Linked DNA regions of Macaca fascicularis. The protein of the gene in region 2 binds, or shares a complex with, the protein of the main gene of each other region. Links are inferred from orthologs where the notes say so. Each region holds a gene or a part of one and is shown on either strand. Other genes may lie near its edges. The genes, in order: PRDX1 and SIRT5.

Region 1 (3,860 bases), on a different chromosome or scaffold from region 2:
GAATACAACAAACTTTCGTTTTAGGAACTAGACTTTAGATTGCAGATCTAGTTACAATTGACACGTCCTTGTTTTATGGGAGGCTACATACTTTAAAGGTTTCCAGGGTAGCAAATAATTGTGATTTTGTGTATGTGTGTTTGTGGGGGGTAGTCATCAGGAAGTGTCTGAGGCCTTTTGCCTTACTGTGTAGGTCTGGCTAATGTGTAATATTTTGACTCAAGATTGTAAAGTCAAGTTATTCATCCGGGGAAAGGATGGTCGTGTAGCTGAATCAGCGTCCTAAACTGAACTTTCCCTTTGGCATAAGTTTAGGAGTCCTGATATTTTATTTTGCTTTACAACAGAAAGCAGCAACCCTGTAATCAAAGAGAACAATGAAGGAAGCTATCTAACCCATGAGGGTTACTGAGGATCTGCGCTGGGGTTAAGGCTGCTTAACTTAAGAAATATTCGGACAGACAGTTCTCATGGCTTGGTGTGGTTAGACGTGGTCATCCGTGGGCAGCAGCTAGGACGCTTACTCCGGTTTGGGCATTAAGGGCACAGTGCGTAGTGGTCCTGGAAGTAAAGGGAATCCTGGTTTTTCGCAGAGACCTTGGATTAACCTAAGCGTTTGGGTTTGGGAGCGGCCACAAGAGCGCCTCACTCCAGCCTCAGCCATCCGCAGCAGGGAGAGGTATTAGTATTTCCGCGCCCGCCCCCACGAGGAAAAGCGCCGAGTCATTCCGGTGGGGCGCGCCGGGCGGGGCTCGGGCCACATCCCCCTCCTCTTTCTTCTCTTCCAGAACCCCTGGTCCGCTCCGACTCTCGCGAGAGCCCTACTGGCTATAAAGGCAGCGCCCCGGGCGGATTTTGCGCGTTTTGTTCTTGCCTGTTTTGTTCTTCCGTGGTGTTGATCTGTGAGTTGTGTTAGGACTGGTGAGTGTGGGCAGCGCGGCCTCTGCGGAGTGAGGCGCGGCGCGCCTTTCTTGTCTGTTGCCTCTTCCTTCTCCTGTCCGGGGCTCGCCCGCCCTTGGGTGGGGGTACTGTGATGCGTGAGGCGGCCGGGGGAGACCCGGAGCCCGAGACTGCCTGAGCGCTACGCGCACCCCTCTCATGGGCCCCCCACGTAGGTGCGGGGACGTGGGACCCCAAGGCTAGCGTGGACTCGAGTCGAGTCGTTCCCCGGCAACTTGAGCACGTGGCGCGGCGTCTGGGCGGGCTGGTGGTGGGGTCTCCAAGACTAGCCTCCTGTCGGGCGGGGTGGGTTCGGGAAGCTTCTGGAATGGACCTGTATCCGGACTCGTGGCTGTAGAAGACAGCCTGTATTTTTGTCCATCTTGTGATAGGGTAAATGCTGTTCCGGGTCCTGAGCCTTGACTAGCTGCGGAGCTTCGGGTACCCTTTCCCCGTCTTTATTTTCCTGTACGTGGAATGGAGTTAGTGATGAGCCCAAATGTCCCCGCTGAAGCACTCTTTCTGCTGGTACTTTACACAGTGCTGGGGAGGGACAGGGGTACCTGAAGTGGGGTTCAGGGGTGTGGCCCTCGGCACTGGGCAGATCCCCTGAAGGGGCCCGGCGCCGGCCTGAAGCAGCCTTTACCCCGAATTGGTTGGGTTTGGTACTTGGGAGCCACCTGGGAAAGTAGGATGGGACGAGAAGGCCATTTGGGGACACCAAGTTGCAGCATGCATTAGTTTTTGGTTTTTGTTTTTTGTCGTTAAAGGTGTTAAGGACTTTTTAAAAAACAGTTTTTAAAGAACTTTAGGACTTGGAAAAACTTTTAGACTGCGGCTCAGTGGGTTAAAACTCTGTTTTTTTTTTGAGAGAGTCTCGCTCTGTCGGCCAGGCTGGAGTAGCAGTGGTGCGGTCTCGGCTTACTGGGACAACCTCTGTCTGCCGAACTCAAGCAATTCTCCTCCCTCAGTCTCGCGAGTAGCTGGAATTACAGGCGTGTGCCACCAAGCCCCGGCAAATTTTTGCTGTTTTTCTTTTCTTTTTTTTTGAGATGGAGTCTCGCTTTGTCGCCCAGGCTGGAGTGCAGTGGTGCGATCTCGGCTCACTGCAAGCTCCGCCTCGCGGGTTCAGCCATTCTCCTGCATCAGCTCCTGAGTAGCTGGAACTGCAGACGCCGGTCACCACGCCCGGCTAATTTTTTTTTTTTTTTGTAGTTGTAGTAGAGACGGGGTTTCACCATGTTGGCCAGGCCTGTCGCGAACTTTTTTTTTTTTTTTTTTTTGAGACGGAGTCTTGCTCTGTCTCCTAGGCTGGAGTGCAGTGGCGGGATCTCGGCTCACTGCAGCCTCCATCTCCCGGTTTCAAGTGATTCTCCTGCCTCAGCCTCCGGAGTAGCTGGGACTACGGGCGCGTGCCACCACACCCGGCTAACTTTTTGTATTTTTGTTAGAGACGGGGTTTAACTATGTTGGCCGGGCTATTCTCGAACTCCTGACTTGAGGTGATCTGCCTGTCTCAGCTACCAAAGTGCTGGCATTACAGGCCAAGATCTCGATGCTTATCTTGGTGTTGATCTGGGTGAATCCTGCGCAACCTTCCTTTTCAGAAGTAAATTGATTCTTGTTCTACTTCTTTTCGCCCTGGGATATTAGCCCAGAAGTCAGGAACCCATTTGTGAAGGGACTTCTAGGGCTTACACAATACCTAAAGATTTGAAATTAAGCAGACGCCAATATCTTGGTCTTCCCGCGCCCCCCCCCCCACCCACCGGCTTTTTTTTTTCTTCACTGTATGGCCCAGAGTGAAAAGTCTCACTCTGTCGCCCAGGCTGCAGTGCAGTGGTGTGATCTCGCCTTACTGCAACCTCTGCCTCCCGGGTTCAAGCGATTCACCTGCTTCAGCAGCCTCCTGAGTAGTTGCGATTACAGGCATGCACCACCACTCTCGGCTAATTTTTGTATTTTTAGTAGAGACAGGGTTTCACCATGTTGGCCAGACTGGTCTTGAACTCCTGACCTTGTGATCCGCCTGCCTCGGCCTTCGGAAGTGCTGGGATTACAGGTGTGAGCCACCGCGCCCAGTGGTCTTGCCTCTTAAAAGTTGGACTGGCTGGAAGGGTGCGGTGGCTCACACCTGTAATCCCAGCATTTTGGGAGGCTGAGTTGGGCGATCACCTGAGGTGAGGAGTTCGAGACCAGCCTGACCAACATGGAGAAACCCTTTCTCTAATAAAACTACAAAAAAATTAGCCGGGTGTAGTGGCTAGCGCCTGTAATCCCAGATACTCCGGAGGCTGAGGCAGGAGAATCACTTGAACCCTAGAGGTGGAGGTTGCGGTGAGCCGAGATAGCGCCATTGCACTCCAGCCTGGGCCCCAAGAGCGAAACTCCGTCCAAAAAAAATAAAATAAAACAAGTTGTGTTAGTTATAGGTCGACCGTGTGCTGTCTTTGACAAAGCTACCTGGAGAAAAGTCAAATATGCTTCTGACGTTATTAAGGCAGGTGGAGGCACAGTAATGGGAAAGGTCAACATGACTATGAGCCAAACAAAAGTGTTTGTGGCATTGTGCATTTGGATTCTGGTTTGAGAGTCTTCACCTGCCTCCCTCTCTGCTTCTGTCTAATGAATAAGATGCCACTGCACTAATTATGGTTCAGAAAGAGTGAGAGGTTTTCTTAGTATATAAAGAAATTGCCTTGTCGTTTTTAAATGAAAACAAAGGCTGAGATTCAGAGACTTGTTTTGTTTCAAAAGCTCTGATTGTGACCCTTGACTGCTGGCCTGAGCTTCTTACTAAAATAACATTTAATGTATTCAGGGACACTGGACAATGCCTTGATTGTTCTACAGCTAAGTCTCTTAAGTAGGTGAAGGCTGCTGGTTATCTAGAAAATTAAGGCTTGTTTCTAATTAATTTC
Region 2 (3,908 bases):
TCATGCTGCTATAAAGACACATGAACACGTATGTTTACTGCAGCACTATTCACAATAGCAAAGACTTGGAACCAACCCAAATGTCCATCAATGACAGACTGGATTAAGAAAATGTGGCACATATACACCATGGAATACTATGCAGCCATAAAAAAGGATGAGTTCATGTCCTTTGTAGTGACATGGGTGCAGCTGGAAACCATCATTCTCAGCAAACTATCACAAGAACAGAAAACGAAACACTGCATGTTCTCAGTCATAGGTAGGAATTGAACAATGAGAACACTTGGACACAGGAAGGGGAACATCACACACTGGGGCCTGTTTTGGGGTGGAGGGGGAGGGATAGCATTAGGAGATATACCTAATGTAAATGACGAGTTAATGGGTGCAACACACCAACATGGCACATGTATACATATGTAACAAACCTGCATGTTGTGCACATGTACCCTAGAACTTAAAGTATAATAAAAAATAAATAAAACAAAAAGAAAAAAAGAAAGAAACGAGCATTTTCAGCTGTCTACTGTTTAAGAAAACAATGAACTCTCAGTTTTGCCCTCTGAGCGATTTCTCCAGGACTGCCCTAGTTAACACTACTATTCAACAGTTTTGTGCTTTGAGCAGTTATTTGACCTCCCTGGCCCTCAGTTTCCCCACCCATAAAGTGGGGACAACAGTACCTATTTCATCAGGTGGTGGGTATGATTTAAATTGGTTAATAATGTGAAGTTCTTAAAAGTGTCTGGCTCAGAGTAAGCACCATACACGTTAGGGGAAAAAAAAGCAGCGGGATGTGAGGCCCTCCCCAATTTCGTTACTCCATAAACCCCTAAGTTGCTGGTAACACCTGCAGGAGTGAGAGGGGCTTCAATATGGGCTGAATTTCCAGCCAAACTGTGGAAAGTGGCTGAGATTTTAGGTAGGCAAAAAATGTTAATGTAACATTTTTGGCCCCCAAGTTCTCAGACCACTTACTTCCCTTTCTAGTCCATTGACATGCCCGCAAGCAATTCCATTCTGCCAAGAGGTGCTGGTGGTAAGCCCAAATCCAAGAAAAGGAAAGACTCCGATTTTAAGGGAACGGGGACCTGCGGAGCCACTTGAGTCACCGGGGCTCTCAGCTCAGCAGTCAGAGCGCACTCATCACTGCGTTCGAGGTTAGGTGGGCTGGCCTGGGAACCAACTCACCATCATTTGAAATCGTTTCAGGGAAAATGACCCCAACACTTAAAATCCTCTGTCCTGAAGTTGTGTGATCCAGCTGTTTGCTGAAAGAGGAAGCAAAGCCGATAGTAACTCACTACATATTTGGGCAGTGGAATGAACCCTGGAAGGTGACAAAGACGAAGAAAGTCACCGCGCCTCTTCCGACCCGCCGCCCCCTACCCCTACTCCCACTCCCACCCCCACCCCCACCCCAAATAAAGCACAGACAATCCTTCAATTATAAAGACAACCCCGGCGCCCGGGTCTCCGGCAGGGGCCGCTGCAGCCGAGCAGAACGCTGAGCCGCTCCGCCCCGCGGCCTCCTCTCCAGCCGCCGCGCCCGCCTCCTGCAGGTGCGTCCTTGCCCGCGCCGGGCCCGGGTCTCCGAGGCCTCTCCGGCTCTGGCTCCAGCTACTGGGTCCCGACCGCGCATTGCTCTCTCGGGGTTGCGCGCACAGCCCAGGGCCGGCCGCGGGCTGGCGGGCGGAGGTAGCGCTGGTCCGCGGTGCGCATGCGCAGCCCGGCCTCTGCCCTGCGGTCCTGGGCTGGTGATTGGGTAGCGGTTGGAGGAGGGGATGTGGGGGATGGTGGGTGGGTACGGAGAGCTGGGAGGGAGGCACCCCGGGGGGCGGGGCGTGGGAGACTGTCTTCGGGGGCGCGAGCTGCCCCAGGTGAGCCGTGCCTCAGGTCGGGTGCGCGGTCAGGACAAAGCGCCTCTAGGAGAAAGCCTGGAAGGCGCGCTCCAGGGGGACCCCGAGCTCTTAGCGGGCCGGCAGCACGTGCGGGGCCCAAGGTCATCCGGGCTCTGCGTGGGGTCGTTGCGGCTGGAGATCAGGGAGGGGGCAGGAAACGGAGTTGGAAAGTAATCCCACCCGAGCGGGTGGGCCTGCGAGGCCGCTGTGCTGGGGAGCTCCACGAGGGCTCCGAACAGAGCCTCCCTTTTCAGAAAGGTCACCCTGGTCACTGCGGCAGCCAGGATGACCGAGGAAGGTGGCCGGGGTGGAGGCAGTGGGCGTGGAGAGGGGTGGGATTCCGGACGTAGTTTGAAGGTCGAGCCGTCGGGATCTACTGAGCAGCTTGGCTATGGGGCGTACGAGAAGGGAAGGCTCAGGGCCTAGTCCCTGGGCCCGAGTAGCAGCCGGGAGGATGGTGCCCCAGTGCTTCGGGAGGAGGAGGCTTGAGGACGGCTCTGGAGCTCAGGCTTGCCCGCGTGGAGTGGAAGCTGCCTCTTGGACCCAGGGGGCGGGGAGGCCGCATGCAGTCTGGAGCGCTGGGAAGATGGGAGATCCAGAGAGGCAGGGCTGGAGGAGTAGGAGGAAAACCTGAAGGGGGTGGCGCCCGGAAACCCGGGAAAGTGATGAACTGGGTCAGAGGCCGGCTGTCAGCAGATAGGAGGGTGGAGACGACCTTGAGGAAAGCAGATGATGGAACGGGCGGGAGTGGGGCCCCTTAGTAGAGACACCTGGGACTGATGTATTGCATTTATTTAGCTCATAGGCGTTCAAAAAGTATTTATTCGGAGGCTGTACAACTTTTTGCAGTTCATTGCATTATACTTAGCATGTATTATGTTTTATATAAATATGTAAATATATATTTATATATTTAATATTGACAAATTTATATATAGGGTACAATGTAGTGTTTTGATATACGTATACATTTGTAGAAAGATTAAATCAAGCTAATTGACATATCCATCACCTCACCTACTTATTTTTTGTGGTGAAAATCTACTCTCCTGGAAATATACAATACGTCATCAACCGTGGTCACGATGCTGTGCAGTAGATCGCTAAAACTTAGTCCTCTTATCTAACTAAAACTTTGTATCCTTTGACCAACATCCCTCCCTTCCCCATCTGCCCTCCCCCAGGCCCCTGGTAACCATCATTCTACTCTGCTTCTATGAGTTCAACTTTATTAGACCCCAAGTATATAAGTGAGATCATATGCTATTTGTCCTTCTCTGCCTGGCTAATTTTACTTGGCCTAATGCCCTCCAGGTTCATCCACGTTGTTGCAAATGACAGAATTGCCTTCTGTTTTAAGACTGTATAGTATTCCATTGTATATATGTGCCACATTTTCTTTATCCCGTCCTCAGTTGATAGATACTTAGTTGCTTCTGTATCTTGGTTATTGTGAATAATGCTGAAAAGAACACAGGAATGCAGATATCTCTTCAACATACTGATTTCAATTCCTTTGTATATATACCCAGAAGTAGGATTTCTGGGTCATATGGTAATTCTATTTTTAGATTTTTGAGGAGCCTCCATACTGTTTTCCAAAATGGCTGTACTAATTTACATTCCACCAACAGTGTACCAGGGTTCCCTTTTCTCCACGTTCTGGACAACACTTGTTGTCTTTCATCTTTTTTATAATAGCCATTCTAACACGCGTGAGGTGGTAGCTCAGTGTGATTTAACTTGCATTTCCCTGGTGATTAGCGATGTTGAGCATTTTTTCATGTATTTGTTGACCATTCATATGTCTTCTTTTGAGGAATACCTGTTCAGGTCCTTTGTCCATTTTTTAACTGGGTTATTCGTTTTGTTTTGCTATTGAGTTTCTTATATATTTTAGATATGAGCCCCTTATCAGATGCATGGTTTGCAAATATTTTCTCCCAGTCTGCGGATTGTCTCTTTACTCTGTTAATTATTTTCTTTGCTGTGCAGAGGCTTTTT

What was found.
Region 1: the proteins of SIRT5 (region 2) and PRDX1 are in contact, whole or in part, in a crystal structure (PDB 8Z54), measured with the Homo sapiens proteins. The link is inferred for Macaca fascicularis from reciprocal best matches to the Homo sapiens genes SIRT5 and PRDX1. Residues at the interface, in NP_001363727.1 of Homo sapiens: Ala86, Tyr102, Arg105, Gln140, Ile142, His158, Val220, Val221, Trp222, Phe223, Gly224, Glu225, Asn226, Leu227, Leu232, Val253, Val254, Tyr255, Pro256; in NP_001189360.1 of Homo sapiens: Phe195, Ser196, Lys197, Gln198.

The regions. Positions count from the first base shown.
Region 1 is NC_088375.1:189,199,119-189,202,978, forward strand, and holds the start of PRDX1 (peroxiredoxin-1), read left to right. Parts: upstream 1-859; 5' UTR 860-921; intron 922-1,242; exon of another isoform or gene 1,243-1,407; intron 1,408-3,860. UniProt on the Homo sapiens protein: Thiol-specific peroxidase that catalyzes the reduction of hydrogen peroxide and organic hydroperoxides to water and alcohols, respectively.
Region 2 is NC_088378.1:159,375,270-159,379,177, reverse strand, and holds the start of SIRT5 (NAD-dependent protein deacylase sirtuin-5, mitochondrial), read left to right. Parts: upstream 1-1,504; 5' UTR 1,505-1,701; intron 1,702-1,842; exon of another isoform or gene 1,843-2,005; intron 2,006-2,045; exon of another isoform or gene 2,046-2,202; intron 2,203-3,908. UniProt on the Homo sapiens protein: NAD-dependent lysine demalonylase, desuccinylase and deglutarylase that specifically removes malonyl, succinyl and glutaryl groups on target proteins.